Arabidopsis thaliana: one gene and its partners. The protein of the gene in region 3 interacts with the protein of the main gene of each other region in a pairwise test. Each region holds a gene or a part of one and is shown on either strand. Other genes may lie near its edges. The genes, in order: HIPP20, AT2G42910 and AT3G49160.

What was found.
Region 1: the proteins of AT3G49160 (region 3) and HIPP20 interact in a two-hybrid assay, tested with the Arabidopsis thaliana proteins (one large-scale study listed by BioGRID).
Region 2: the proteins of AT3G49160 (region 3) and AT2G42910 interact in a two-hybrid assay, tested with the Arabidopsis thaliana proteins (one large-scale study listed by BioGRID).

The regions. Positions count from the first base shown.
Region 1 is NC_003070.9:26,799,008-26,809,128, forward strand, and holds HIPP20 (Heavy metal transport/detoxification superfamily protein), read right to left. Parts: upstream 5,286-10,121; 5' UTR 4,940-5,285; coding exon 4,780-4,939; intron 4,614-4,779; coding exon 4,315-4,613; 3' UTR 4,090-4,314; downstream 1-4,089. Other genes in the region: LPR2 (Cupredoxin superfamily protein), read right to left, coding at 981-1,217; AT1G71060 (Tetratricopeptide repeat (TPR)-like superfamily protein), read right to left, coding at 6,644-8,176; AT1G71070 (Core-2/I-branching beta-1,6-N-acetylglucosaminyltransferase family protein), read right to left, coding at 8,433-8,947, 9,038-9,153, 9,237-9,312, 9,665-10,121. UniProt on the Arabidopsis thaliana protein: Heavy-metal-binding protein. Binds cadmium. May be involved in cadmium transport and play a role in cadmium detoxification.
Region 2 is NC_003071.7:17,851,243-17,862,602, reverse strand, and holds AT2G42910 (Phosphoribosyltransferase family protein), read right to left. Parts: upstream 6,355-11,360; 5' UTR 6,208-6,354; coding exon 6,035-6,207; intron 5,672-6,034; coding exon 5,356-5,671; intron 5,257-5,355; coding exon 5,161-5,256; intron 5,056-5,160; coding exon 4,987-5,055; intron 4,889-4,986; coding exon 4,760-4,888; intron 4,553-4,759; coding exon 4,453-4,552; intron 4,340-4,452; coding exon 4,209-4,339; 3' UTR 3,936-4,208; downstream 1-3,935. Other genes in the region: AT2G42940 (Putative AT-hook DNA-binding family protein), read left to right, coding at 1-106; AT2G42930 (Carbohydrate-binding X8 domain superfamily protein), read left to right, coding at 1,331-1,735; AT2G42920 (Pentatricopeptide repeat (PPR-like) superfamily protein), read right to left, coding at 2,219-3,898; AT2G42900 (Plant basic secretory protein (BSP) family protein), read right to left, coding at 7,174-8,004; ML2 (MEI2-like 2), read right to left, coding at 8,398-8,523, 8,645-8,827, 8,977-9,045, 9,132-9,216, 9,288-10,179, 10,269-10,360, 10,440-10,591, 10,707-10,823 and 2 more.
Region 3 is NC_003074.8:18,217,604-18,229,227, forward strand, and holds AT3G49160 (pyruvate kinase family protein), read right to left. Parts: upstream 7,303-11,624; 5' UTR 7,127-7,302; intron 6,831-7,126; 5' UTR 6,813-6,830; coding exon 6,403-6,812; intron 6,331-6,402; coding exon 4,726-6,330; intron 4,647-4,725; coding exon 4,529-4,646; 3' UTR 4,275-4,528; downstream 1-4,274. Other genes in the region: AT3G49142 (Tetratricopeptide repeat (TPR)-like superfamily protein), read right to left, coding at 1-245; AT3G49150 (F-box/FBD/LRR protein), read left to right, coding at 1,255-2,281, 2,361-2,422, 2,513-2,827; AT3G49155 (F-box/LRR protein), read left to right, coding at 3,731-4,002, 4,151-4,274; EMB2261 (Tetratricopeptide repeat (TPR)-like superfamily protein), read right to left, coding at 9,351-9,832, 9,927-11,624.

The DNA of each region.
Region 1 (10,121 bases), on a different chromosome or scaffold from region 3:
TCATAATTATATAGTTAGTGGGTAATAACTTTCTATCAATTAATCATTAGATTTGATGATGTTCTTAGTATAATTTATCAGAACAAAACTTAAAGAGCTTATAGAAACTATAAAAAAAATGTGTATTCATTCGGTAGGAGAGCAAAATAATATTAAATTTGACTAGTTATAAAAGAGCACTGATTCGTCAGTACTATAAACCAATAGATATTTTTCTCAAGAGGACAAATAAGTGAGAGGATAAGAGTGGAGTACACAAGATGAATCAATTCCAAATCACTTTACCAAAAAAGAGCCGTAGCCAACTAAAAAGCACTTAAGTTTTCACTGATCTATACGATTTCGAATATTTAATGTTAATTTTTGTCATTAATGAGTTTAGATTAGTTTATGAACAAAGAGGAATTTGAGTATTCATTCGGTGAAGGGCAAATAATATTCAACATGACGAGTGATAAAAAGTATACAATTATTAATACTTTTTCTCAAAGACGACAAACAAGTGAGGGGACAATAGTGTGAACACAACACGAATCTATTCTAATCACTTTACAACCTAAGAAGAGCCGTAGCCAAGTAAAAAGCAAATTAACTTCACTAATCTTATACGATATCGAATTTAATGTTAATGTTTTTCATTAAGGAGATAATGTTCAACATTAGTTAGTCGGCTTAAGTTGGTCAAGAAAGTTAATGAGTCTATTTTTTTGCATGTAATACAGGTGTAAATCACTAAATGATGGTTATTTGAATTTTCTATCTAAATATTTTGGCCATTTATAACCTCATGACAGAAATGGAAGATGATCTGTTTTCACGAACGACTATAGACTGGAAATTTAATTTAATAACATACCAAATATAACTTCAAGAAAACAGAGAAAACAAGAGGAAAATATATAATAGAGGAAAGAAATTAGAAAACAAGGAAACAAAAATTAGAATATAAGGAAAATGAGAAGAAGGAAAGAATTAAATACCCATTTCTTGAAGAACATGCCTATGTGAAGAGATTTGGGTTTGAGGAAGCCATTGACGAAGTGGTAGCCATGAAGTGTTGGTATATGAGGAAGCTTGTCAACGAACATCTCAAGCTTCCCAAGATTAAACAGTCGCTCCTCTTGCTTTATGCCTCCTTCGTCTCCGGTTACGAGCCATGCCATCGTTACGATTAGAAGCAACATGTCTCTGGTCATTCTCCTCCGAGAAGGCTCCATGTCTTTGTCCTTCACGAGCTGTCGAAATTATATGAGAAAAGTCAAGTGTGTGTGTGTGTTTGTATGTGTGGAATACTTAAAAGTTGAGGAGAGAAGTTGAAGAAGTTCTTTGGGGTTTTGCGTATTTATGCATACGAGTGTGTGGTGTCAAATAACTTTGTTGTTCTTTGCTTTCATTCTCTTGACTATTGAGTCGCTACTTTCCTAGAATTTATCTTCCAAAAAGGAATGGTTTTTTTTTTAATTAGTAAGCTTCTACATTATAAAACTAGAATTTGAATATTATATGTACATGACAAGAGTATTGATTTTTCTTAAAAAATGAATATATATATATACGTATATAATATATCCATTAATTATATGGTTTATATCTATCAAAAATTAACTGAAAATTAAACAGGGTTCATACTTCATAATTCTTTTTGTGAATAACAAGGTTAATAGTTCTGTCTTCTCAAATGGATCTTTTACGAAAAAATCAACATTCTTCTAATGGAACTAATACAAGAAAGAAACCATGGAAACTTTTGGGCCTAGTTCGTCCACTATATTTCGTCCCGTTATTAAGATATTTTCTCTAACTTACGCGTTACAAAAAAAATTAGAATGAGTTTTTCCAATCTCTCAAAAATTGTCTTAACCATGTTATCGTTTTAGCTCCTTCAGCCTCCCGTAACATGCATTATCGCAGACCTATAATGGTTAAAGCTAAGGTTATCATCCAAGCTTGTGGGAGGTCTCACAAACATTCCTTCACTAAACAGATCTTTATTCGCATGTCCAAACACCAAATTTCAACCATTGAAATTTGTAGTTATGTTTGCCTTAAAGGTCGAACCATTTCTCTGCGAGTTAGCCGAAATCTAGCAAACCTAATGTTCTCTAAAACTAATTCTTTTTGTTTTTTCTGTTTTTTTTTATAAACTTTTTCTTCATTAATATTGAAAGTAGCGAAAAAGTAACCCATCAGTCTATAAAAGACTGACAATATAAAATATACCTAGCCAGGCCCAAAATGAACCCAGCATCAACAAATAATTTTTCAAAAGGGAGAATCAAAAACAGCCCAAAAACCTAACATATTCTTTATTTGTTACAAGTTGGAACTATAGTTCCTTTTAAACTTCTCTTGATGCTACTCCAAAGATTATCATCTAGCATGAGTTCTAACGTAAAAAACACGCAAATAGTGGTTATACATATATATATATATATACTCTATGCTTTTCATTTGAATACACATCATATATTATACAACTACAATATATATTCATGCTTTTAAAAAATAATTCAGACAAATCCAAGAAACCTAAAAATTAAATTTAACAAGAAAATACACCAAATTAACTTTTTGAAGAGTGTGAGGAAAAAAATCAAATTAAACCAAAATTAATCAATTTGACTCTGAATCAACAAAATTTAAAACAAAATCAACCATTATATATACAAAGTTCCTATTATATACAGATTTTGTGATCAATCCAGTTCTACAAATTTCAGGTTTGGTTCGTTTTTGGTTTCACAGATAATTGCTAGTACTATTGACTTTTGAGCCTGTCTATGTTTTGGTGTTCCTAGTCAAAATGACTGGAAGCCGTCGATGTCTGGGGTACTGTACACGTGGAGGTTATCCAAAAGCCCATCTCCCACCTAGCTAAAAATGCGGTTGTCGCCATCAAACGACGATTTTACCTTAAGTCCCACCTTGATATGTTCAAACGCGCGTTTGCGTTTTCCCTTCGTGTGCCGCTTCTCATCTCTCCATTTGTTTGCGTCCTTTTCACAGTTTCAAATCTAACATATCCATTTTTGTGTTTCAACTTTCGAGTTATGCGAAGTCATAATTTAATAATCAGTCATATCAGTTTCGTCCCAAACAGTTGATTTGAAATATCCAGCGAGATACTTAAATGTCATCTCATCATAAGCACCATAATATTATGAAATTTCAAATTCTAATATTCTTGGGATTTTATTTAAAGATCACTCATTCTAAGGATTAAACAGGTGTTTGTTTTACGTGAGGCATTAATTTGTTTTGAGTTGTACAAGAATAAAATCTCCCAGTATATTATATACAAATTCACAGCAAGGTTTGAACTACAAAAATATATTAAGATTAGACTATAATGTATTAAGGTTGGATATGTGCACGGTGCCACAGTTTTATTCGAAGAATAATATATTACATTTCTGATCATCCATGCATGTAACAAACATACTCAAAATAGTTATAAAGAAAACAAGAAGCAGACCAAATTGTGCAATAAATTAACCGTTTCGTAAGAAACACAATTTCTAATTTCACTTACAAATTGACTTGTCTCCTTGCGAGTGGTCGGAAATATTTTGCTATGGTTACGTTCCAAGTTAATTACGGTTACTACTAATTTTCTTGATTAGTTACGCGTCATTTTCTAAACCTAAAGTCATTTACTAAGAAAGTTATGACTACAAATACCTTTCTTTTTTTATGGCTGCATCATCAGCCGCATATCTACTTCGATTGAGGAACAAACTATATTTAATGGCTCCGAAGAAAATCTAGTTAAACGCTGTTGGATCTTCTATGTGTCAAAAACTACGTAATGGAAGATAAAATATAGAGATAAAAAGTTGATATTTTATTATCTGATGATGTATGGATTTCACTTGGCACAGCCGCATAGATTACCACAAAACCACTTCACAACACTTTTTTCGCTGACTAATTTGCCTTCACAAAACCAACAAAACTCCAACAGCACGTAGCTTTTTGTTTATTTTCTCTTAATTAATTTTTAACCAACCTGAGCACTTAACCGATTTTCCTTTTTTCGTATTTATTTTTAAATAACTTCAATTAATTCCACTAATATAATAATTTGCATAATCGTAAATAAAAACATAAATCACCCGAAAATACTTTGATATTAAACACATTGATTATACACATTCCACTAACTTATTTTGAAATATTGAAATTTTTACACAACTAGCTATAGTTGGTTCTTCCTCTCTGCATTAACATAACAAAAAGAGAGAGAGAGAGAGAGCCAATTGCTTGATAAAAACGTTACATGCTGTGGATAATACTACTAGAGTAAATTATTTATTACATAACGGTGCAAGCGTTGGGATTCTCGTCGCTAAAAAGAGAAATGTAGTGGTTCTCGGGAGCTCCCGGCAACAGCTGCAACTGCGACTGCTCAGATTTCCTGACATAACCGGCCGGAGCTTTTTTGTCGTAAGTTCCGACCGCGTATGGATATGCGACCATGTTGTAAGGAACGTACGGCCATATCTCCGCTTTTTTCCCTGTCCTTTCGATTCTCTTTAATACCTTCTTTGGTTCCACGTATCCACTCACCGTCACTTTATGTATCTTTCTATTCACCTCCACCGATTTCACACCTGCGCGATTTTTATATTGATATAAAGACCGTGTTAATTTGGCTTGTTGTATGTAGAAATGGTTTGGCGTGCTTACATGAGTACTCGTTTAATGGAAATCAAAATTACAAAAAAACTTACAGAAACCATTCATGACATAAGTAGTCTACGAGTTGGAGATTCGAACCTTTCATGGAGGAAACCGCGTTCTTGACTCTGCGTTCACAACCATCGCAGTCCATTTTCACCTTTATATTCACCGTCTGCATGACTTTCCGCTTCCTCCTTTTTCTGGTGACGCGGAAGTAGTCGGAGATATACTCGGAAAGAGAATCAAGAGCTCCCATGTCTATTACTCTCACCAAGAAAGATCAGAGATGCATATATTATGGACTGGACTTGACCATATTTATAGCAAGTACATGGTGACTTAATGGACAAGTGTTATGCCGAGGATTAAGTACAATTAAATGTGTTTAATATTCGTAAAGTGTAATTAGAGAGATGTATATGTGGCCCTCTAATGATGTTTTCCTCCAAATACACACGTTGGACAACGAGGCCAATGTTTTTGGGCTAAAGCACACGACTCCCGCCGATTTCTTTGTTACAAAATTCTAATATCCGTTTTATATTAAAAAGCTAACTATAATAATAATAATAAACAGAAGAGTTTGTAGTTATAATTTCTTTTTTTCTAACAATGTCCGATCGGTCGTTTATAATAAAACAATGTCACGGGATTAGAGGTTTATCATCCACATCACCTGAGTCACCTCAAAATTCACATGCGTCAAAGTTAATTCATTGAGAATGGCAATTATGGTTGTGTAGATTCTTCTTTTACCATCTAATCTTTTTCTTTTACAATTTTGTTTATGATCATTTTCGTCGTATACATATATATGATGTCGGTATGTATATATAAGTTTATGAAAAAATTGTAATCGTGTATTGAAAACGACATGACCCTTCTAATTAATTTAACACTTTTGTTACTTTGGATAGGTACACGATCGGATGAATGATAATAGGGTTTATAGATAAACTACACAATCACACATTCAATTATTTCAATTTAGGTCAGAAACAGTAAAAGGGAATAGTTATAAGAGAAAAATAGAAAGGAATGTAGCAATTTAAAGGGCAATGATTCGATGAGAAAAAATAAGGTGTGGGGGTCCGATCTTATACGAAGTAGACAACTCAATCAAACTATTTAGGTAGTCTATAGTTTGAAATAAGAATTGTTATAAAGCCCCTCCACATCTTTTTATTATGTACATTTAGACATTTTTGTTTTTTGCTTTATACTTTCCACCCTATAAACTTCGTTGGCATTTTCTTCTCTTACACCCCAATTATCATATTCTTCTTAGACCTCTTTTTTTTTTTCCTTTTACAAAATTATATTTTTTCTATTTTTCTCTTCTAAGCTACTCAACACAATTGATCGAATTTCAATTTTGAGTTAAAGTACCCCACGAGTAATTCTTGAAAAAAATTCAGCAATATACTAAAGAGGGGTGTTACCGATATGAAGTTAATTCCATAAGAGGGTTTCATTGAAATAGCCAGTGACAACATAAAATCTCGAGATTACCAAATCGACAGCTATTATATAGCATGCCATAGCATTTAGCATAGCCTCACTTTCAAAATTAAAGGTTACTAAATCAAGGAAACATAAGCTTTGATCAATGGATTATGCATGTCCACATCCTTCATTTACAAAAAAGAACACAACAACTGTTTTTAACTATCTACTATTTGTGAAAAGAAAAAATCATCATAGCCCATTCAATTACTTTGACCCATTCTTGTTTGTTTAATAACATTGACTTGTCCATTTCTCATAACGAAATAACAGTGTTTTCTATATGGTGACTACATCATACACTTTTGCTCGGATAGAAAACTGTCTCTAAATGCTCAGAGCTCTGAAATTTTGGATAGATCATAGATCATAACTATTCAATAGTCCAAAAATATCAAACAAAATGTAGTAATAGAGATAAACAAGAAGAGAAAACAGAGCCATGAAACCCACTTCAGCCAACAAGTTGGGTTTTCCTCAGCCTATCCATCTTTACAACCAAATCCGTGACTTTATCTTTCCGGCCTTCATCGAGAAGTGTTTGTTTAAGACGGCTAAACATATGTCCCGGTGGCCTAATACCCACATCCAACATCTCATTGAAATACTCACAAGCCTCGTCTAATTTGTTCTCATGGCACAGAGCTGTGATCAAACTTGAGAACATGTGCATTCCTGGAAGAACACCTTTCCCTTTCATCTCGTCCCAAATCTTGATCGCCATATCCAATCTCTCTTTGTTACAAAACATCCTCACCATGATCTCGTAAGTACTCACCGTCGGTTCACAACTCATCGTCTGATAAACTTCATACGCTTCTTTCGAGCGCTGCATTCTAATCAAATGATGAAGAATTATATCATAAGTTCTAGCATTTGGCCCAACCCCTTTTAATCTCATCTCATCAACGGTTTTGTATGCGTCTTCCATTCGCTGTGACCAGCAATAAGCACCTACTAGCGCATTGTAAGTAGGTGCTTCAAGAGGAAACCCGGAACTCTTTGATCTCTCAAAGAACTCAAGAGCATCATTCAACTTCTTCTCAGAGCCAAGTCCATTAATCAAACTACAGAAAATGTGAGGACTTGGCTTACAATTCCTCTGTTCCATCTCATTGAAGAATCTAATAGCTTCTTCATACTTCTTCGCCTTGCAATGCGCATTGATAATAATACCGTAAGCGACAACATCCGGTTCAAAACCTTCGTCTTTCATCTCTCTGTTAACCTCATCAACTCTCAAAAGATTCAACTCCTGACCCCAACCTTCAAGTAGAATAGTATAAGACTTAATATCAGGCTCAAACCTTTTCTTTTTCATTTTATCGAACACCTTCTGTGCATCCCCAACATTTCTAGATTTGCTCAAAGTATCAAGCATACGATTAAAATCACTTGATTCCATCTTAAACCCAAACTCTTCCATCTTATGAAACGCACCTATAGCTTCTTTAACTTTCCTAGCTCTAGCGTAACGTCTAGAGATAAGAGCAAATGTCTCTTTGCTCAAAAGCTTTTTTGCTTTCATGTCGTCTACTAAACTCCAAATGAGTTTGAATTGTTTGATCTTACCTAATGATTCGATCAATGCGTTGTAGTTTGAAGTAGTGTGCTTGAAACCCTTTTGATTCTCTGCCCATTTGAATACAGACAAAGCTAAAACACCAGCGTTGCTTAGCTTCTTCAGTACTTCTTCGATTAAGGCTGGTGAAAGTTTAACAGAAGCTTCGTTCAGCAAAGTTTCAACCTTTGAATCCGTGAATTTGGTGAGAATCTTGCAGATTCTCTCTGCGTCTTGTGAAGCATCATTAGCAGAAACTTGGGTTTCAACAGAAGAAGCGTGAAATGATCCGTAAAGTGTAAAGTTTGAAGCTTTATGAATCCATGGAATCGATTCGAGACTCGGTGACGAAGACGAAGAGATTCGAGAGTACACACGTCGAGAGAGATTCACTCCGGTGACTCTGAAGAATCGAGAGAAGACCATTGGAGGAGAAAGTTTAGATCTTTAACTTTCAATTAACTAAGATACAACAGAGGAACAAAGGTTTATCAAATTTGCGAACAAAAGTTCTCTAATGGCTTTAACAAAGGAATTACAAAATCTGGGAAAGAGAATAAAAATATCTCCTTTCTCTTCTCTTTCTCCTTCTCCTCGTATAAATACAGCAGCCACTGTGTTGTTGCCCAAAGAATTTAACCTTACAGAGACTGAAAACAATGTAGTCTCGTGTGTCGTATAATCACTTGCATTGATTCGATTGTGAATTCAAATCATCAAGAAAATTCGTTATTGTTTCGTCTAGCTTCTTAGCTTGAGGTCCAGCTTTGACAATGTTTACTTCATCCCACTCCGAGCAAGGATCTGTCCACCAGCTACTGTGGCTCGAGCACCAAGCGCCAGGAGTGACTCTGTAACGTCCACGTTTCAGGATCTCTCTATCGACCATGTCGAGTACTGGATCATCTTTCTTGAATTGTCTAGCGAAAGCTGCTCCGCTTTGAGCCATTTGGTCGAAATCCGATATAGTAAGGAAATGTGGTTCCATTTTTGGTGGACTGTCCCATATCATGTATCGTAAGTCCCCGTTGACTGTCGTGTTACTGAACTCCGGTGCGTTGCATATCACCGTGTGGAAGTAGCATTCTTCAGAGAGAATGACATTGTTAAAATACATGAGAAGGATTCTTGGTAAATTATCCCAACCGAAGATGCAGTATTCTAGGAAAGGTCTGCTTAGTACAATCCAAGGCGAGCCTGCAGTGATATCACAAACCAGCAACATGAGATTGTATACATATAATGAATGTAGCCAGAGAAAGTATTATTAGCTTCTGAATCTTTTGCCTGTAAAGACTTTGAATGCATCTGGTGTTGGTCGCTTTTCGGTAGCAGTGAAGAGCTGAGTTCTTCTAGCTAAGTAAAGTGCTGGATCAACAACAATAGGCTTGATTCTCTGAGATCTACATAAAGATCCATTATCATCATAATCCCCACCAAATGTACAAGAAACAGTTCAAGAGACTGGCAAAAGTTGTTTACTTACTCTTTCCAAGCAAGGTCACTAGTGTGATCAATAAAATTGAGACTTCTGTTCACCGAGGCAAACACATGAGATAGGTCTGAGAGAAATCATGAGCAAAGAAAATTCATTAGAATCCAGGTCATAAGAAGACAAACAAACAACCAGTGGAGTAATAAAGTTCTAAATCAGATTATTTGCCATAAAGAGATCAGTGAAAGTGATTACATTTCCACTTTATTTCCAGAAAAAGAGTATATATATTCTAGAGTATATCATAAACACTGCAATCTCAAGAAGCTAAGAGCAGAAACTAGAACATTAAAAAGCTCAAAGACAGGTCAAAAACAAAGATCTAGAGTGAAAATGAATCAAAATCACAAGCAAACTAAAAAGCTAGTTTCTTCTCTAGTTTAAGATTAAAATAGAAAGAAATCAAAATTAAAACATACCATCTTGAGTTATGAGAGGATAATCCAAAGCACTAAGCTCAATAAACCAATTCCAAGTAGGATCAAGCTTAAGAAGAATAGAAACAGCGTGAAGAGTAGAAGCAATCTTAGAAGCACCATTCTCAGACAAACGATCAACTTTCCCTAAAACATCAACATTCCCAAAAGCATTCACAGCAGGAACAGATTTCAAATCAGAGAGAAGAGCTAGCCTCTCTGCATCAGTAGCTTCAGCACCCAGATGGATAAGATACCGATTCCTAGGATGATAAACCGCAAGCAATAACCGAGAGATCCGGTCATTATCTCCACGACCACCGGTTATGTAATAAGCAAAAGCAGGTGGGTAATGAGCACCGTGACGAATTGAAGAAGGGAATGGTTTAGAGGTGAAAGCAGAGATAGAATAAAGTAAGAGAAGGAACACTGAGAGGAATACTACAGAGAAGAGTGTGAA
Region 2 (11,360 bases), on a different chromosome or scaffold from region 3:
TTTAGATGACATTCATGGACTGCCTCAAAATCTGCTCACTAATGGAAACTCGGCTTCTGATATCTACTCTTGGGGGCCTGCGCAGCGTGTCATGTCGAAACCTTAATACTACTGCTCTAATCTCCACGTTTCATCATATCAAATGCCTTAATCTTATTATCTCATTTACCTTGGAATCAAAGATAAATGTGTCTGTAGGTTGAGAGAGAACCGTAAGTCTGGTTAAGAAACTGAAGCTTATCTCCCTTTGTAGTTTGTACCTGCAACAGTAAAAAGAAAAAACTGAAAAAAGCAAAAGTAAATGATTATGAATTTTAAGCACAATCCTCTAATTTAATACGAAAATATTACAATATTTTTATCCTTGATCCAAAGTGAATGTTGGCCATTAATAGCAGAACATGTGAAGAATCATACAAACTGGTGATTTCTCTTTACCTGTGTGATACCAATTGCAGTTGCACCGTTCCAGCAATTATTTAGGAAACTGAGCTAGCAACCAACTTCTGATTTTACTCCACTCTCATCCCAGTTTCAACATGTTATATAATCTGTAAATCTCTAGAGGATTTTTGAGGGTTTCACTAACAAGATACAAACTCTTGACGTTTCAGATATCTGGGGATTAAGGAAATAAACGCGGTTTCTCATGTTTATGATTGGGTACTTTCATGAGCAATGCCAAAAACATTAGTACGTCTATCACCTTAAACATCATAGCCTATTTCCCTAAATCCCTATTTCATTATCTAACTACCTTGAATTAAAATCAGTACTTCTGTGGGTAGAATAACATGTTTGGTGATGCTGAAGCTAATCGTTATGTACTTATATCTAGCCAGTGAAGACGAAAATATGTGAAAGTTTTCTCCTTGCACCTCACGGAAAACTTAGTAGATAAATCACAAACACATTAAAACTGACATCGAATGATAAACTAACCTTCAAGCACAAACTTCCAAACTTTTCTGGATTTGGATCAATAACTTGTGCTGTGCGTTTCCAAACCAACATTCTCGATGAAGTTTCTTTGAAAGATTCCGTTTAGGACGCTTTCCTGTAATGATCACACACAACAGAGGCACTATACATGGTCAGTGTAAACTGCATAGCATGTCATGGCATTAATTAGAGATAAAGACATATAATCATGCCTGTTATAAATTTCAATAGTTGGTTCAACACATGCATAGGCTTTAAATACGTCTCCAGGCAATGATATAAATACATGCAAATGTACATGATAGACAACAAATCATCATCATCAAATATAATCATCACCAGTTTCTCCATTTATTTTTCTACCAAAAAGCAAGAAATTTCTCAGAAAATGAAGACGAAGATGTTAATAACCCTCTTTGCACTAGTTTCAGTAGCAGGAACATCAGAAGCGACTGGTACACTTGCTGCACAGCAGAACACAAGCATTATACCTACATACACACTCTGGTGCATGGAAAATCCATATGCCTACTTTAGAAGAGTGATTTCGAGCCTAAAATGGGCTTGCAAAAATGGTGCTGATTGCTCACCATTGGAAAAGGGTGGCCGTTGTCAAGACCTCGACAATTACAGAAGCCAAGCTTCTTATGCATTCAATGACTATTACCAGAAGAATCCTATACCCAGAAACTGCGATTTCAATGGTGCTGCTGTGCTTACAGTTCAGGACCCAAGTAATACTAAACACTTTACATTCGAAAAAATAAAACCAACCTCTGATCAAAATTCCTAGAGTTCCATTGTGATAGTGTCTATATACGTCAGAACTGATTTTTCATAATCATCTTCAATTTGTGATTGTTGTTCTTCTTCTTATATCTGTGAACTTTGATTGCAGGCACTCCAACGTGTAAGTTTCCATCTAACAGGTGAGCATAAGATTCATTTTTTTTTTTCCATTTCGTTAACCTTCCGGAAGAAAAACACAGTAGATATAATTTATATAAATCAATTTTTCAGCACTGGTCCATACCCACTGACTTCTTCAGTAACAAGAACTGCAACTCCAAGCCTACGAAGCTTCTTTTGGGGTTTTGTATTCACATACCTGGCTTATAGTGCTGCTCAGATAGCTTGACCTAGAAGAAAACTGTAGAACAGGACAATCAAGGTGTGGTTTTACGAGAAGAAATATTTTGTATAAATAACAATATGATAAATTAGTATAATACCTAAAATGATATCTTCCGCTACATCTCCAAAACTATCAAATTGCTTATTTCTCTGCCAGATAAGTGAAACCAATCCTAGTTGTAGCATCAAACAATTCAGCGAAACCTGATTTAATTGTAGAGACATCCCAGTTTAAGATATCGAGTAAACTGTAAATCTCTGCGGATTTAGGATGCGTTCCCCCACAAGATATAAACTCATGAACTTCAAAATCCACTTCAATCGAACTGCAGCCAACTTCTTTCTCCATTTGTCTTTCCTTCATCAAAAGCCTCTGCTCAACTGCCTCTTCGAACAAGCCATAAGAAGCATAAGCATTAGACAAGAGAACATAACCACACGTTTCATCTGGATCGAGCTTCTTCAAACATTTTGCTGCTCGTTTAGCCATCTCAACATTACCGATTTTCCTGCAGGCAGAAAGCAAAGAACTCCATATAACAGTGTCTTCTTCCACCGGCATATTCTTTATCAATGCTTCTGCTTCTTCGAGGAGCCCCGCTCCACCCAGCACATTAACCATTAAAGTATAGTGTTTTATTGATGGCTCAATCATATATTTTTCTTTCATCAATCTGAAAAATTCATCAGCTCTATGTACTTCCCCGGAGTGAGCACAAGCTGTTAAAACACCAATGAAGCTGACTGAATCTGGTTCCAAGCCAGAACGCTCTAACTCCGAGAACAAATCCATGGCCCTTTCCTCGAATCCGTTATTAGCTAGACCAAGAATCATCGAATTCCAACACGATAACTGCTTCTTAGGAGCACACTCAAACACATTTAGACCTTCCTCAATGCACCCACACTTACAGTACATATCTATGAGTGCTGTAACAACTATACTATTCAATTCAAACCGATTCCTCACTATGTACTCATGTATCCATCTCCCTTGCTCACTTGCTCCAAGGTACGCACAAGCATTCAACAGACTCACCATTGTAAACCCATCAGGTTTCACATCTTTCTCCTGCATCTCTCGAAACATATCCAACGCATCCTTAAATCTACCATTCCTCACAAACCCACTAATCATCGAATTCCAAGAAACTCCATTTCTCTGCGGCATTTCATCAAACAGGTTCTGCGCCTGATCAATCAATCCACATTTCGCAAAACCCATAATCATTGAATTCCAAGCAACAACATCAAAACCTATCATCCCCAGAAAGATTCTCCAAGCTTCAATCAAACACCCACAAGTCACGTACATATGCAACATCGTATTCCGTATAAACGAGTCGTCTTCAAGTCCCTCTTTAATAACCATCCCATGTAATTGCCTCCCATCACGAGCTTGGCCAAGTCTACCATAAGCTTTGAACACCGAAGGATAAGTCAATCTCTGCGGCTTCACAGACGGAGAAGAACACAACATGTCAATGAAAATCGAAATAGCCATCTCTGGAAACGAGCTCCGTGAGAAACCACGGATTATAGTGTTCCAGACAAATGGGTTCTTGTGATTGATCCTAGTGAATACCAAATAAGCGTAATTCATGTCTGACGGAGACGCACAGCAGAAGGCGAGGACACGGCTCGCGGTAACAGTATCGGAAATTAAACCGGTTTTGATGAGACTGGCGTGGATTTGCTTAAGTTCTCTCATCGTACTACATTGTGTGTCTATCAATCGGAGATAAGTGTTGCCGGAGAGGGAACCTGATGACGGCATCGCCGGCACCGTCACACCGGAGAAGGATAAGATCGTCGGAGACATTTTTGTCGATTTAAGTTTAAAGGTTGGATAATTTATAGGAGATTACACACGTGTGACATTATCGCCATTGATAATGAACAAGACAACCACACGTGTGTAGTTTTTCTTCTTTCTGAACTTAACGATTCAATTCATTGCAAAAGAAGATCAATCAACAAGAACAGAGTACAAGGTTTCAACAATCTGTCTAGTTATTTCAGCAAAAGTGATATGATTATTTCATAAATGATCATCCAAAGCACATCTCTTAAGAGTATAAAACCACCAAAAGTCCAAAACGAGCAAAGAACCAGGCTTTATCTCTACTGCTTCAAATCTGCAGAGCATCAGCAATGGATCCAGCGAGGCTCAAGACTTCGAAAGGAGCCTTGTTTCCGATGGCCTTAACCGTCTGTGGACAAGAATCCGTGATCCAGAAGTAAGCAAACGCTTCTTCTAATCCTAATTCGAAGAAACAATAACATTGACTTCAGTTTAAAGATGCAACAAGCAAGATATTTATAGAACAATGAACAAAGTTAGTTACTTTTTCTTTCATTTTCACAGATAATTACCGTTCTTCTTGTGGGTGAAACGCTCCCACGAGCTCTTTGGGAAGACACCATGAGTTACATAAGCACTCACCTTCACAGCTCCATGCGCTGCCAATACTTTCTGTTGTGACAAAAAGAAAGTGAAACAGTTAAGATGAGTAATTTCAAACTAGATTCTCAACAAATCTCATATAACATCAGAAATAACAAAGATTCTGATCAAAAGCCTCTCTTGAGTTTTGACACAACACTTGTGATTCAGAATTTATTCAAGATTGCTATAACCTATATGAAGATACAAAATGCAGGGATATGAGAATTTTGATACCTGGCATTCAATGAGTGTACCCCCAGACTGCACAAGATCATCCACGATAACAACGTGACAACCAGCAGGGTTTCCTTCCTTCAGCCTGACTATTCTCTTATCGCCTTCACGAACCTTTGTACACACAACCTATTATGAATCAAAATTGAGTTCCATTAGATATTGTGCAGGTCATAAAGATGTTCAAATGAAGCGTTATAAAATATCAGTTTTAGATAGCTACAAACCGTGGGATAATGATCCAACAGCTTATGGAAACGCTTCCAGGCTCCATCATCAGGAAATGCAACTATGACCTGCAAACAAATGGAATCAAATTTAGATTATTGAGCAAAAACAAAAAAGAACAGCCACTGAAAACACAAGTGGATGCTATCAGTAACAGTTTTTCATGAACTAACTTTCTCAGTTTCAGGAAGCTGTTGAAGGCGTTTAGTCAACAACGGGATTCCAGTCTCAAACAAAGGAAGAACCTGATCGGCAAAGTAAAACCTTTCCTGCAACACATGAACATATATAGAGAGAGTGATGAACTTGAATAATTCCACAAATAAATGTAGCAAACCCCCGGGGATATCAGAAATAAATAAACAAACCTGCAAAGCGTGAATGTCATAGATGACAACACTAGTCGGACCACCGCGTGAAATGGGGATATTAGAGACAATCCTTGCCATGGTAAAAGCAGTTGCTACATCTCCTTCCTCTTCCATTCTCTCAAAGGAGCCAGTGGGGAAGAAAGGCAACACCAAAGTGAAGGACGCAACAAACAATCGAGGGAGCAAGTAAATGACAGAGATCTGCTCAAAGATGACAGCAGGGGAACTGAATGAAGCAAGGAACGCAACGTGCTGGCCTCGGATATCATGTGCGTTGTTGATAAATAGATTCGGGAATCCATCAGCAAAACTCCTGAAAGCATAACAAATGACCACATCAATTCACATATCCTCAATGCCATCTATGAATCACCAAAAACTATCCAACCAGAGATTCATTTAACAGTAAGAGAGAAGAGAACTTAAAACACTTAAACTGCTATATTCTTACATAGAAAACTGAAACTTGCTCAAAAGATAAGATTTTTGAATACATAAGCTTCAAATCAAACAACCACACATGCAAACACACAGATTCTGGAGGAAAACCAACACAAGGGAATTTTGTTTCAGAATAAAGATATGATTTTTACTTAACCTAAACTCACATAAACCCAATAAACATCATCCAGAAACACAAAAAGAGAACCCAGAAAATGGGGAAAGAGGGAAAAACCTCCAGTTGATGGATTGGAGAGTGATGTGATCAGATTCAGCGGCGATGTTGCGAGCAAGTTCTTCGCACTCTAAGCAGTAAAAGAGATGAACTTTCTTCTTCTGTAATTCAGACACGATGGCGTCTGTACAAATCTTGGTCTCCATGATGTTGTTGGCTGCGTTCTCAGACATTGACGCCGTGAAAGAGTCCGAATGTACTTGCGACGGAATCGGATACACAAAAAAAGGGTTTAAAGGTTTTTTATTTTTCTGAAAAGCCCTTGTTTTTTTTGTTGTTCGGCTGACAATTTTGATTCCTTGCACTTTATTTCTGTACCCCAAATCTGTAAATGATACGTTTATCTTTATTTTAATTTCAAATAAAAATAAAACTTTAGGTACTGTTTACTGAATGTATTTCCATTAATGTTGTCATTATTTCCATTCTTTGATATTTGAAAACCTTCCCAAACTCTATCAAATCAATAGAGAAGAGAAATCTCGGTATCAAAAATCTGATCAATATCTGGAATCTGTAAAAAAGCTGGGAAGCTGCATCATTTTCATTTTCATTTTCATTTTCCTAAGTCAAAACTTTTTATATTTCCTTCTTAAACAGGCATGAACCAACGCAATTAGCCAAATATTAAAGAGTAACACTTAACTAGATAATTCCACCTTAATTTTCTTTAAACTGAGTTTTTTTGTCAACTTTAAAGTGATTTTTTTTTTAAAGAAATCCAATCGAGAATATATTTATTTGAGGCCGCTATCAGCTCGCATAAAAACCTTCATTAATATTTAATACTGCAATTTTAAAATTAAACCTTGATTAGTGTGACACTGACACTCAAATAAATATACTATATAAATAGGCCCGTAGGTCCTGATCCTACTCTTGTTGGACAAGGCCTTGAAATAACAAAACCAAAAGTTTCCACTCACCAAAACTGGGCTCCAATAATTTCTTTTTCTGAGACTAACAACAAAGAAATTTCAGATAATTTCTTTTATTTATCTGAGAAAAAATTAAATCATTTTTCGAACGACAAAAAAAAAAAAAAAACATTTTTCGATAAGAATATAGAAGATGAATTATACACATTGAAATAATGACGTGGAGCCATGTGTGCTACAATATGGCAGCACGAGAACATATCATGTTCGTCTCTCAATTATCAATCCACTGTCGTCCATCTTAAGCTCACGCAACACATCCTTGCGTGAACCACACGCACCACTCGAAGCAAGATCCACCGTCCGATCATCCCACCTAAGTCTCATCCCATGGTTCAACCGTCGGATGAAACCCTCGCTACGTCGTTCACAGTAATCCAACAAGCTAACCACATACACAGACTTTTCCTTATCCTTCCAATTCCCACCAAACTTTTCAAAGTGACGTCGTTTTCGGCTCTCCACGGCCAAATACTCCACCATGCCGGCCACAAGCTCCGGCGAAGCTCCTGACTCGTCTCCCCATAGCCATATTCTAACCATAGAACGTCGCAATGCAGATTCCACGGCGTTGCTAAACTTTTTTCTTTCCGTGAGAGATGGGCTTAATCTGATCACATACTCTCCATGACTTGCACCTGAAGTTACCGAGAACCTATCTACTCTATCACTACTGTTTCCACAGAATTGGACGGTAACGTGGTTTACAGGCTTACGGAGACGATGAGGAACACCCTCGTAGAGAAACCTCTCCACAAAGAAGCTTGCATCGAGCAATATCCGCACTGCCGTATCATCAGATTCGAAGAAAAGGGCGAATCTTTTACCGGAAGGAGAATCTTTAGCATCATTGATGATACTTATGGAGAAGCCTTTTGAAGCCTCATGGTTTGCCCACAAAGAGATTGCTCCGACGAGAAGTATAGAGAAAAGCCGCAGAATAATACCTGAATCCGATTCCGTTGCTAAGCCTTTGGTGGTGGGTTTGGCTAGGAAAGGTTGAAGAAGAGTCTGATCCGTCATTGAAACCATGGATAGATGTCTACATAGAGAGAGACGTGTAACGGTTTTGTAATGATAACTAATTGAGACAGAAACTTATAACGAACCTGTTGTACAACTAAATACTGATCATGTCTTTCACATGGAAAGGATAATGTACACGCAAGAGGATGTTATATACACATGACTGATATAGAGAGAAGTTTCCGAATATAAAGTATACAACGTAATGTACTAATAGGGATGTTTCTTTAATCGGTTGCTTCGAGTGAAGTAATCCCTAAAAACTGGTTACTTTGTTCCGTGGAGAAAACAAGCCTTAATACTGTACATTCTGTTTCTTCCATAACCGCGCCAGACCTGTACACTTAGTTTACCTTTGATGGTGAGTTAGAGTTCCCAACTACTAGTTTTAGTGGGGATTCAAGAGGACTCTTCTGCAGCATTCTTGGAGTTACCGTTCTCCCTCGGATTTTCGATAAGATCCATTGTGTAAGACCAATCTGAATCAGGCGCGGTTATGTTCCAAATGCTTGAAAACAGTTGCTCCTGTATGATTCATAGATACAAGGTGAAATCGGTGGAAAAATCTGAAGATACTGCATATGCATTTTGAAATCATGTATCAAAAACAAAAACAAAAATGAGATTTTGTATCGGATAAACATACGTGATCATTGGCGTCTTGACCATCATCATGGTAGGAGACTTCTGGAAACAATTGCTTTTGTTCCTTCATAGAACTTGGAGTCTGCATGTATGACGCAAGGGCAGACTTTCCTTGGATCTCTGCATATGCCAATGAAGCAACTTTCCCACTGTTGAATTTCTCCCATATTTTACCATTGAAAGTCTGCAGAAACACACATTATGAATATCTTTTAGCTATAACAATCTCAAGCCATTGAATCGGATAATTACCATATCCACAATACATAGTCAACTTCATGACTAGTGAAGAGAAGTTTTAAAGACAATACTGAAGAGAAAAGGTAAAGAAACCTGTTGGAAGGGAACGATGTGCAATGGAGAGACCATGTTGATAAAAGCGTGACCCATGTTGCATTTATTCTGTATCCAGAAAAAAGCTAGATTGTTAGTAAGTTCTCAGGTCATACAAGTGCATCATGAGTTCACTCTCTCTTATAGTATAATACCTTAAAGTCTGTCGGCAAGCATAGAAAGTCATAGTCTCCCTTGTGCTTTTCGTCGATTTCAGCCACCAGCATCTTGTAAGTGTACCTTACAAAACAAAGCATTTGAAATTTAAACATTGCTCGAATATCTTAGATTGAGATCAATAAAACGCTTACTTGTTTGGGATGTTTTTGATGATTAATGTAGTTCGGATTTCATCTCCACTAGCAATCCTATCCAAGTCGATATGATATCTCCCACCATCTATGAACTGATTCTGATTGTGACTCTCGTGGTTATGTATCCTACCCTGCTCAGCAAAAGGTTCAGGCCTTACTGATTGTAATCCTCTACTCCCACCGAAAGGAACTGTAGGCATTGAAGACATGCCAAAGCCAGTGAAATCCTGTTCACTACTGTTCCCCGGTAGACTAACACCAAGGTTTGCTTTTCCATGAGCACTGTTATAGTTTCTGTTGATTCCCATATCACTAAATCCAAGGGGTATCTCTGGTGATCCCGTGTAGCAATTCATTTGTGTATTAAAATGAATGCTTGAGGGAGCAGAGCCCACATGATGCTGGTATTTTCCAAGCAATGAAGCCTGCCTCTCAGCAAATGGAAAACCATGCCTGACAGTGAAAGGACGTTCAGTAGATGACGATGACGACGACACTCCAGTGTAACCAGGATAATTCATATGCTGAGGAGGGCTTCCCCAGCGATAGCGGTGATCAGATGAAGTCCCGAATCCTGAGGAGTGTGGAGCTATAAACCTCATGGAGTTGGAAATTCCCCCTGTTATATGCTCTGGCAAAGAATGAGGTTGCCCATAGGAAATGTTGTGCATCAATCCCTTATTCAGAATAGTTTGGTTTGAATGATTCAATAGCCCTTGGTCATTACTGACTGGTGAAAATCCATGAAAGCTAGAAGGATGAGCAGGAAGAATTGAAGCCAGTCCTGGCATATTGTCTGAGTTAACTGGCCTGACCATTCCTAGACCATGTGGCCTCGTAAAGGCATGCGAAGGAGAGCCCTTCACTGGGCTACCAATTGGCCAGTTACCTATTAAGTAGATTGAATGAATTACGGAAAAGGCATGCTAACCAATCGAGAGAAAAAGTTGATAAAAGAAATGATCAATATGAGATTACCTGGTGGAGAATTAGCAACATGTGAACCTACTTGATTGTAGAAATTTGTAACTTCGGTTCTCTCCAAATCTTGACTTTGTGACGGGACCGACCTGCATACAAAAAGTTTCCGTTCACAGTGTATGCAAGATAACTCAATTCTTTGACATATACAAAGTGCAGAAAACTCACAGTCGACGAGCCCCTCCAGGACGACTAAGTTCGAGCTTTATACATTTTCCACCTATCTCGCTTCTATTCAGTGCTTTCAAGGCTGTCTCTGCATCTCTAACATCATAGTACTCAATGAACCTGTGGAATCGCCTGTTTGGGGTTTCTCTAATCTGCATTTACAAGTCAAGAATCAATAAGCAGGTGATATGTTACATTATGTACCAAACAAAGAGAAGAATCTCTTAGACATAGCATATGCACATTTGAACGCACAAGTTAAATTACCTCTCTTATTTCACCATAGGCACCAAACAGCTGAAGGAGCTCATCATTCGATACTGTTGTGTCCACATTAAAAATCACAAGAGTTCCTTGATTCATATCCTTCTCTGATGGATTTTCCTATCATGTGGCATAAGCTGATGATGAGAAAAGTACTAAAGAAAAGCTGAAACTTCAAATCAAGAATATCTCTCGTAGTCCATACTTTAGGAATGGAAAAGTGAATGTCCAGTGTCCTTTTTCTTAAAAGTGTGTTCTGTAGTGCACGCATTGCGGCATGAGCAGCTCGAATATCGTAGTAGGATATCATAACAAACCCCCTGCTTTTACATGCAGTGTACAAACTTCTGATCTCCCCAAACGGCTGGTGACAAATAGAAATCCCATCAGCAAGAGCGAGCAAACCTCAAATATTCTATGAGTTACGGCTCAACGAGAAAGATGAAAGCGAACAAGTGTTGATTACCTCAAAAAGGGCGCTTAACTCAGAATCCTCGACACTGCTGTTGATATTCCTAACAAATAATGTCCTTGAAGGATGTTCACCGTTTGGATGTTCCACTGAAACTCTACCAGCCGTATTGGGACGTTTACGAGGAACAAATGCATTTGCAGCACCGCGATCAGAAATCTGCATCCCTGACGCATCAACAGCAT
Region 3 (11,624 bases):
CTCATAAGTTTAACACCCAAAGAAGAATTACAACGTAGATCTTCCAAAATGATTCTTGAGTGGACTGTTCTAAGTGTTCTGATATCTGGGTAAGTGTCAAGTACCTGACCAAGTAAGAAAACTGTCTCCTGTGGTGATTTCTGATCGAGTTCCAATTTGGGTAGGGACGAAGATACTTTTCGTGATTGAAATTTTCTGAATTTCGGAAAATGGAGAAGATGGAGATCGACATTGATGCGTTTCATGAGCTTTGAAATCGAACCTCATCACTAACATCAACGGTTATATATATAGCGCGACTAGCGAGCGCAAATAGCAACGGTAACAATATGTGTAGGTAAGCCGGTTATAGAGATTCAACCATCATATATAGTTGAACCGGATCAGACCGGTCTTACATGACCAATTGGGTTTATATATCTGATTTTTTAACAACATAAATCTAATAATATATGAGTCATTAAAACTTGGTTTAGATAAGTCATCTTTGAGCTTTGTAAATCAGTCACAAGGTTAATAGTAAAAGTTGCAGTGACAGTGAGGTTTATGTAAAACTCCTCCTCTGGGGAAAAATTAAATTTACCAAGTACATATTTAAGAATTTTCAGAATTGTTTTATTTTGAAATATAAATCGAGGACTTTTATTGATAGATTGAAGTATTTTTTGCTTTTTGCTTTTTGCCCCAAAAAAGAAAGATAGAAGTATTGTCTATCTTTTTTTGTACTTCTTATTGAAAAGTTGATATCAAAATTAAGTAACACCATATGAAAATGAGAAAGTGACAATCATGTCTATCAGAACAAAGAACATTCTTTTGCACTACATAGTAAAGTAAAATAAATAAAGAGAGAGAGAGAGAGAGAGAGACCAAGTCTCCTTGCCTTCTTTTCATCCATCAGTTACTAGTCTCGATCGATCATTGTTCCACATATATGATCGACATTTTCTCATAAAAATTGACCTTTAGAAAGAAATTTAGACAAACCAGAAGTCACCCGTTCCGCCACGATTACAAAAGATGTTCAAAGTTCTCAATACCGTGGGGTACTACCTATGTGAGTTTCCCAATTTTCTCCTTCATGGTTTTGTTATTCTGTCGTGTCGGATTTTAACGACTTCTGTTCATTCGTAACTGTGTTTTTTCCCGAACATACATCTAAAACTCTCAGATTAAAATAAATTACATAACTCAAGATCATGTCATTTTTCAGGTTGTAACTGTTTGAGATCTGTCAAAGTAGATTCAAAAAGGATGGATATATGTTGCAAAGATATAATTAGTGATCATTCAAAAAAAGATATAATTAGTGATCTACCAGAAGCTCTTATTTGCCACATCTTGTCATTCCTTCCCATAGAAGATTCGGCTTTGACTTCAGTACTTTCGAAAAAGTGGCAGCATCTATTTGCTTTCAGACCAAATCTTGAGTTTGATGACGCTGTAGTATATCTTAATCCTGACGGAGAAAGAAATGAGACAATATTTGAGAATTTCGTTGATAGAGTATTGAGTTTGCAGGGTGATTATCCTATCAACAAGTTCTCTCTAACATGCCGAGATTTTACTGATCCAACTTGTGTATCTCGTTGGATATCAAATGTGATGGAACGCGGGGTATCGGATCTTGATCTACGTTGTATTGTGTATTGGGATAATGGTACCATGCCTCCAGATATCTTTGTGAGCAAGGCACTGGTTCATCTGAGAATAGAAACTGGAAACGGTGCCTTCATTGATGTGGAAGATGTTTTTCTTCCAAACCTCAAGACTCTATATCTTAATAAAGTCTTGTTACGACACAGTGATAACGGCTTTGTGAAGCTTATTACTAGTTGTCATGTTCTTGAGGATTTATTTATTATGAATATATGTTGGGATGGTTATTTGAAGCGCTCTCTATCTTCTAAAACCCTCAAGAGGCTAACGTTCTTTTGTGAAGACGTCCATGCCGTAAATCCGGAGAGTGTTTCGTTTGATACACCCAATCTTGTCTACTTTGTATACCATGATTGCGTTGCAGACAAGTATAAAAATATGAATTTTGATTCACTTGTTTACGCTAGTATCTGTCTTCAAATGACATCTCATCAGCGTACACATGCAAGCTATGAACATTTGGTCGGTAATGCAACAGATTTTCTTTTGGGAATAAGCAATGTTCAGATCCTTGAATTATTTGCCAATACCATTGAGGTTTGTATTGTAATCCCTTCTTCTTCTTTTTTGGCTACATTGAAACAAAAAGAAGACAAACAAGTTAGTGTTACATGCCTTGCAGGTACTTACTTTCTGTTGTGAACAAATACCGGTATTCAAAAACCTGGTTTGTTTAATTATTAAGACTGACCAAAAAGCAGGATGGGAGTCATTGCCGGTTCTACTCAAAAACTGTCCAGATCTAGAAAGCCTTATCTTCGATGTACTAACTCATAACCTTTCATATATTGCATTTGCTTACACAAATTTGTAAACAAAAATTGAGTTTGAAGTTGGTTACTCTACGATTCAGGGGCTCCATCACAACGATACAATTAAATGTGAGGATGTTGACGGGTGTCTATGCAAATCTTCACGTGGCATTCCTAGTTGCCTATCATCAAGTCCGGTGCAGTTTCTAACGATATGGAAATTTGGTGAAATTTGTGATGACTATGATGACATGGAGAAGCAGATAGAGCTCGTCATGTATTTCCTGGAGACAATGCCGAATCTTGAAGAAATGAAATTGTTCTACGATACACAAATTTATGAAGATGTGATAAGCAAACTTCAGATGTTAGTAACCTCGTCGAAATGCACAGTCTATATAATCCCCGAGGTCTAACTTCTACGTGTCTACGAATCATCTATTCGGTATCTACTAAACGGGGTTTGTTCTGTAATATGTGTATTACTCTTTCGCCTTCTCAATACGCATTTTCACTTTTGTGTTGAATATTATATACTTTATGTTTTCTCAAAACTTCAAAATTTAAGCTTATGTCAAACCAATTGTTCTGATATTGCAAAACAACCCCAAATCGTTACATTTAAATTTATCTTTGGTCCTCTCGCAATTTTGTCGTCTTCTTAAGTGCGAGCGAAATCGTTTCTGCATTTTGTAGGAGGAGTCATGAAATTGTACATTTTGTCTTACCCACCGAGAAAGCATGAGCACGAATCGAGGCTTAGCGATTTCGTTTGCTCACTAAAAACCCTAACTTTCACTTTTTCCCACTCTGCTCTCTGTTCTTCCGTCGCCGTGTAGAAATTTCGATCAGGTTCGTCTCTTTGTTTCATTCTACAGCTTGTTTGATCATGATGATGATACTTTGAGATTCTATGTGTGCCCATTGGCTCTAAAGTTCTCGTTTTTTAGTCTCTCCTCTTTGTGCTCTGCGTTTTTGTGCTCACTGGCTCTAAAGTTCTCATTTTTAAGTCTCTGCTTTTTGTGTTCTGCGTTTTGCAATGTGGAGAAGAAGAAGTGTTGCTTTATTATAGCGTTTTCTTTTCTCTAAGCTTTTAAGATACTAAATATGAGATTTTTTATTTTTTTGGCTTGTTCTAATACCAATCTCACTAATCTTTTACTGTTTACAGGGACTTGAGACGCACTTTGTCTCTCAGATCCTTATTCAATGCTCGCTGCTACCAACCATCTTGTAGCGGTATCATTCAACGTGATGATGTCCATGAAGAGAAGCCACATTACGGCTCTTTTCTTCATCAGAGATCCTTCAGCAGTTCGATGATTCTCTCTCAGCAGCATATGATGAGAAGCCCTTCACATTTCCCACTATGCTCTCCTTTTGGTGTCTCTACCTATCGGCCTATGTCGACTTCACATATTTCAGGCTCAGATGAGAGTGGCGATGTGAATCATGTTGCTGAAACTCTTACTGATTTAGTGCAGCAAGATACAGTCATCGAAGTTGCCGATGCTGCTATCGATTCCTCCATCCAATTAGATTTTGTTCAGCAGATAGTTCATAATGTGCATTCACTCACAGGCTTAAACTGGTAAGAAATCTTCTTCTTTTTTTTGTGTTGGTCAACTTTTAAATCATGTCATCCTTGGAGTTATTGTTGGATCACTTTTTTGTGTTTTTTTACACCCAAAAATGACCATGTCTTATATCAATCATCTCTGTATGTTCTGTGATTGCAGGTGGGCTTCCATTGTTTTTACCACCTTTCTAATTCGAGGAGTGACAATCCCTCTCATGATTGAATGCGAAAGATGGTTTTCAAAGAGGATGGTAATAAAACAATGTTCTTTCGTAAACACATGAGTTTTGTGTCTCAACCAACCAAAACACCGTTCTTGTTTGTGATTGGCATTACTTTCTATTTATACTGTTCACTGTTTGAAACACCATCATCAATCGGAATCATAATGGGAGAACTAGAATCAACAAGCTTAATCCTTCCATGTTATGATCTCTATTCATTCATCATATCCTAAATACATTGTACATTTCCCCTAAAATCTCTTTCTTATAAAACAACAATACGAATATAAATGGCCAAGCAAACTACAAGCAGATCAATGGAGATTTTCAGAGTCCGATTTCTTGTAGATAAGCTTGGTATGAAGAATAGTATCCAACATTGAAACAGCTTCAACGATATTCTTGCCTTTGTTTAACATCACACAGCTCGCCCTGCATATTTTCAAAATGCAAAATTAGACAAAGAAACTGCAAATCTTACAAAGATCATGTCTAATGCAAAATATTTTACCTTTTTGCATTTGCAGCATCAGTAATCTCAGCTCTAGTTGGAACTCCGGATTTCACAAGTGATTCAAGAACCTGAGTTGCCATAATCACCGGTACACGAGCAGCTTTACAAATAGCTATAATCTCCTCCTGCATATTAGCCAATCTCTCCCATCCACATTCCACTGCAAGATCACCTCTAGCTATCATAATTCCTAAAGGATTCGAACACTTCATTGCTTCTAAAAGAATCAAAGACAAATTCTTGAATCCACTTTTCGTTTCAATCTTTAAAACAATACCAAGATCATCTAGTTTTCTTTTCTTCAACTCTTGTCGAAGAACGGTTATATCATGGACATCACGTATGAAAGAAATACCAACCATATCAGCATGTGAAGCTACATAATCAAGATCTTTAATATCTTTTGATGTTAAGCCTTTGAAATGGATATCGCTCTGCGGTATGTTAATGGACTTCTCTGATCCTAGTTTTGTACCTTTTGGACGTGCATGAGTTATGGAGACAATTACCTCTGAAGGACTTGTTCCTTTTATGACTCCCCATATTTTTCCATCATCAAAACCAATGGTTTCACCAGGCTTGACTGAATCAAACAAATAACCGGAAGGACAAGTTAACCTATGAGCTCCTGGAACAGTTACAGATGGTTCATCGAGCGATCCTTCTCGGGTTATGACTAGTAAATCTCCAACTTTTAGCCTTACAAAAGATTCTTTGGGAGGAACATCTACTACTCGTCCAACTAAACGTCTCCCTTTCTTTCCCTTAACACTTAACTCAGTTCCACTTTCTATGTAAGCAGTGTCGAAACATTCAGCCACAAACCCGGTACTGTTGAAAACATGAAACTCTTTTGAGATTTTAAGTCTCCTCTTTCTCCCTCTAGCGTCACATAGTCTTATAGAATCACCAATTTGGAGACCAGCAAGAAAATCTTGGCCTTGGACCGATATAGTAGCATCAGGGGAAACATGAGCAGGAGGTTCTGTTCCTGTGAGGCAGAGCCATACCAAAGCAGGAGAAACAACATTTCCATAAGCATCTTTCTTTGGTGAAATTTTCATCACACACGGACCAGGTTTTAAGGTACCAGTTCTGAGTTTTGGTCCTGCTAAATCCATATGAACGCGACATGGCATCTCTAACATCTGAGAAGTTCTTCTTACTCTTTTGATGATCTCACCCCAAATACTTGGATCTCCATGTGCACAGTTTATACGGATAACAGATGTTCCAGCTTTAAGAATATCAGTTATAAATGTTTCACTCAAAGTTGCTTCTTCACCAATAGTTACCATGATATGAGTACTTCTTCCCTCACGAAGTTTACCAAGTAATGACTCTTTGTATGATAATACCCTCCCTTTATCATTCTTCTTAGTACTTTTTCCCTTGGGATATACATTAGTCCAAGACTCCGTCACAGCGTTTTGATCGTTCATCAAAAGATTAATAGAGGCGTTAAGGTGGGCGAGAACATCCAGATTGTTGTTGTCTAAACTTGACAGACCAAGAGAAGCTAGATGACTGTTGAGCTGCTCAATGTCCAGAGATCTCAAAGCCATATAATGAACTAAGTTTGTTGCACATTCCAGATACTTACTGCAACAGACGGTACTAGGAAATTAGGCGAAAAATAAGTAATGCAAACTATATATAAAATGGTTAACAAACCTGTCACATAAGTGTAGTTGAGAAGCATTCCATTTCTCTGCTGCTAAGAGATGTGACCGAAGAGCATTCAGTTTTTCGATAACACTAGCCACATTATTGGCCCCATTGCTTCCAGAGAGGTCTGCTTCTGACTTGAGATGAGACATAGCATCTTTAGAATCTGGAAAGTCAAAACTCCAGGTACATTCTGTGGAGGTATTATCACCAAAGGTGGCTTCCAATCTGCTGAAACTTTCAGCTTCGCCTTTCCCGCGAGCTAAGGCAAAAGCTAAGGTTCTCTGAATAGGAAGTTTCATGTGATTAAGTGATAATGCATAACTTGTCTTCTTATGTTGGTTGTTTATGTGAGACCTGCTGGAGAAGCAAAGGATCTTGTCTCTCAACAAGTGGCTTGAATCAAGTCCTACCATATCGACTAATTGAATCACCTGAGAATCAAAACGAAAAAGGAGAAACTGTTATAGATTGACACAGAGGTTAAAACCTAGGCATAACCACAAAGACAAGAAACGAAACATGTATAACGCAAAGAAAGAAAACAAAAAAACAAACAAATTCCAAGTTCGTGAAAAGGACAAAAACAAGCCTACCACAAATCAAAATCCAGGAAACAAATCATATCTAAGCAAATAAGTTTTCTAGGCTACTGGAATTGAGAAAATATCTGGAAGGAATCAAAATCAACCGAAACTCATTCCCTAGAGGACAAGAACATGAGAAATACCTTTGTTATGGAGAAGCGCTTTGTTCAGATAATGTCTTCGCTCTCGTCTTGAGGAGAAGAAGAAGAAGAAGAAGAAGAAGAAGAAGAGAAGACAGATTTTTCAACGAAGAAGAAGAAGAAGAAGCAGAAGAAAGAATGATGAAGAATTTTCTTAATGAAATAAAAAAAGTTGTGGTTAAGGATAAAAAGGGAGTGTGGCGAGCGCGTGTCAGATTCATCTTCTCGGGGAATCTAGTAACACGGACGGATGAGGCTGAAAGGTCCCCATTATAAAACGACGTCGCTTTGTTTTTCTAAACCTATTCAGACAAGAGACCCAAAGATAGAAAAAAAAAGACCGGTCCATGCGGTTTAACCAAACCAATTCCGTGAAAACTGATTAATTTGGTTTATCTATTCCAACAATGGAAATTGTTTGGTAAATTTTAAAAGAGTTTGGGAAAGTAGCTCCTATTGTAAAAGAGTTTTATAATTAGACAAAGTCGTTTATGAATATATGAAACACTTAACTGACTATTTCAAATTTCAAATATATGTATAACTTTTAACCATGTAAGAACAAAAAAATAAGAATGGCTAAGTTTGCTTAATTAGATTTTGTAAAATTTGACACATTATTTCTAAATTACATTTTATTGAAACTATGATTCATTTATTGGATGTTTTTTAGAAAGTTTGTGAAAATTATTAGCGGATTTGTAAACTGAAGAATGAACATAAACCATTCAATCTTTTAGTTACGGGAATAATGAAACCTATAAATCGGTACAAAGTTACAAACACATTTCTAAGCATAACATTTGTTCAACACAACACTCTCAATAGGAATCTTATCCGTGGGAAAATCACAGTCTGAGTCCATTGTAGTTCTCTTATCCGGTAACAAACTGCACGGCTCCGGTGTAACCCTACTAGTAACTCCGGAGACATCCGTGCAGTTCCACTGCAGCTTCTTCGGGTCCGGCGACAAAGCTATAGTCACACTCGACATGCATAAACCCGTAAATGGACCATTCTTGATCCTTTCTAGCTTTGCCGAAATTGTAACGTTTTCTGCGGTCATGTCACGGTAATGGATATTGCTAATCTCCGGCAACGCCTTGGGATCAAACCCGCCTACGGGATGCAGCTTATACGAACCGGTCATCCAGAAAACGTATTTCATCGTCTTCATCGTAAATCTCCTAGCGAAAATGTCTTTGATGTAACCGCCACGTCCTATAGCGGTTTTGATTCGGATAGCGGATTGTGTGTTGATTAGTGTCACCTCTTCAGTTTTCGGAGAAGATGATTTCGATCAACAAAGGTCTTGATATCGACTTGAAACCGCCACTTCGATACTTCAACCACCATGACTTCCCTTGTCCATTAGTCGTTCTTTTGTTACCTAACAACAAATTTGATCTTATAAACTAAATATATAATTTTGATTCAATCTCATATATATATATCCATCAAACCATTTTAATGATTTAAGTTTTGTTGTGCTTACCGGTGATAACAACATCGGTTAGGTTACTTCCGTATACTAAACCAGTAAACCTTGCATCTCCGTATGACGGCAAAGGTGGAATCATAGGATATTCAGACTCATCCTGTTTGTTACAAACGAAATAAAACCAAATGTGATTATTTATCTCAAATAGAATGGTTGATATTTTTTAGTGCATTCATAAATAGGTGTACGATACTAGCTAAAATTTTGAGCTTAGATATATTTATTACCTGAGAAGCAAGAATAGTTGCACCTTGCTGGATAAACAAAGTAAAATGGCTTGTGAGGTTGAAACTTCCGGTGAGCCAACTCCCCGGCGGTACAATGAGTTGGACTCCACCGTCAGCCGCCAACGGAGTAAGCTTACTTATTGCTTCTCGAAACGCTTTGGTGTTTGAGGGTTTTCCATCTCCAATAGCTCCAAAATTCGTCAAAACCGCACTGTGTTTCCGGCAATTCAAAGCCAAATATTCAATACTCTTATTGCTTGTTGATCCCAAATTGCTTTGGATACGGGATTCCATCATCGGAAAACCGGATATTGCTAATACCACTAGTATCTTAAAACTTGTCTGAATCATCTTCAACTGTAATAACTTAAATAAATTAGAATGCTTCTCTTTATTTATTTTTAAAAAGAACGATCACATTGAACCCAAAATCCTCAAGATTTAAAATAACATTGAATAGAAAAGCCTCATTTGTGTATCTAAATCTCAAAGTCACCATTCACCAATAATCATTACAAGAACATTTCCCATCTTTAAAATGATGAAAACGATTCAAATCCCTCAACACAATCTCTCTACCAGAGACTGTCGATATATATTTCATCGCGTTATGGCAATCTCCGCAGACCCGTAAGTTCTTGAACACCCTAACCGGTCTAGATTTCGACGTGCTTATAAGCCCAAACGCAACCGCAATTTTCTCGCTGTGCTGATATAGTAACCTCTCCTTCTCCGCCTCATCATTCTCCTCCTCTAGCTTGTGAAGAACAAGATCCGTATCAGGAACATATCCGCAGCGTTTTATTTCTGTAATTAACCGATCCAATTCATCATATATTTGGTGAGCATTCGGGTGAGCTGTATCACCTACGTAGAACTTATGAATTTTATCTCCCACTTCTATCCAACTGCAACCTCCTTCTTTAACCAAGTTTCTCTCTTTCATCTTCCTCCTCATCTCCGTAGATTCTTCCCATTTCCCTACATAGAAATATTCAACAAAGTGTCACTTTCACACAAGGTAGATCAGTAGAAGAAAGAGTTTTATCTGATTGTGTTTGAATTATATAGATACCTGCACAAGCGTATATGTTTGAGAGCTGTATATAAGCTGCAGGCTCATTCGGATCAAGTTCTAAGATCTTCCTCGCAGCCAACTTTCCGAGTTCTGTGTTACTGTGAACTCTGCAAGCTCCAAGAAACGTACGCCATACTAAAACATCGGCTTGGAAGGGCATTGTGTTAATGAACTCAAATGCGTCTGTGAGAAGCCCGGCTCGACATAGAAGATCAACCATACAAGCATAGTGTTCCATCTTAGGTTTGATCTTGTGGTCTTCATACATTGAATTGAAATGTCTCCATCCTTCGGAGACCAAACCAACATGGCTGCATGCCGATAAGATTGCAACATAAGTGACCTCATTTGGCTTCACCCCTTCTTCTATCATTTGGTTGAATGTTTCGAGTACCCTTATAGCGAATCCGTGTTTAGCGAAACCTGTGATCATTGAAGTCCACGAGATGACATTACGATTTTCCATAAAATTGAAGACTCGGGAAGCTGTGTCAATGCTTCCACATTTGGAATACATAGAGATCAAAGCATTGCAGACGGGTTGATTGCACGAGAGCCCGAGTTTAACCACCTGAGAATGGATTTGCTCGCCTTTTCTTATTGAACCAACATTTGCAACTCCACTCAACAAGCTAGCAAATGTGAAAGCGCTAACACCTAATTCTCTCTCAGTGATCTCACTTAAAAGCTTAAATGCTTGCTCAAAATTCAAGTTCCTGCATGTTCCGTCAAGAAATGTATTATACGAAACCAAGTTCTTCTCAGAAAGTGACTCAAAAGCTCTCTGAGCATCTTCCATCCTGTCAGATTTAACAAACATGCTGATAACCGAGTTTGCAACACTGCTATTCGAAGCAAGCCCTCTTTTGAAAGCTTGACCAAGAACCTGTTTACCTACCCGTGGATCCGAAAGATTTCCACACGCCTTGAATGCACTCGAGAAAGTGAAATGATTTGGCTCAACATGACCTTGCGTTATCATTTCACTAAAGAGATTAATAGCCTCTGTAGCGAGATTACAGTTTTTCATATAACCAGTGATCAATGCCGTCCACGACATAACACTATGATCCTCCATTCTATCAAACACCTTCCTGCAATCATCTACCGAACCATCCGCAGAACATTTCGCATACATATCAACTAAACTACATTCAACATCATCCACAAGCCCTGATCTAATAGCCCAAGAATGCAACTGCTTTCCCAAAGACAAGTTCTCCAACTCAGCACAAGCCGAAAACACAGAGCTTAGTGTGAACTTATCTGATTCAAATCCACTTAAAACCATATCCAAGAAAAACCTAATCGCTTCCCTAGGAAACCCCATCTGCATACACCGAGTAATCATCAAAGTCCAAGTAACAACATTTAGTTCAGACATTTTATCAAACACCTTATACGCATTCTCAAAGCTATTCTCTCCTTTCACAAACATGTCAATCAAAGAACAACCCACACACACATCAGATTCAAAATGCCCAGTCTTCATCAAAAACCCTAAAGTCACTCTCCCAACTCCAACAAAATCCGAATTCGAACAAGCTCGTATCACCGCCGTGTAACAATAATCATTAGGCACCAAACCTAACTCCAGAAACTCAACAAAAACCTTAATTGCATCTAATTCTCTTCCGTTGTTACCGTAACAAGCCATCATCGCACTCCACGAAACAACATCTCGCTTACCAAATC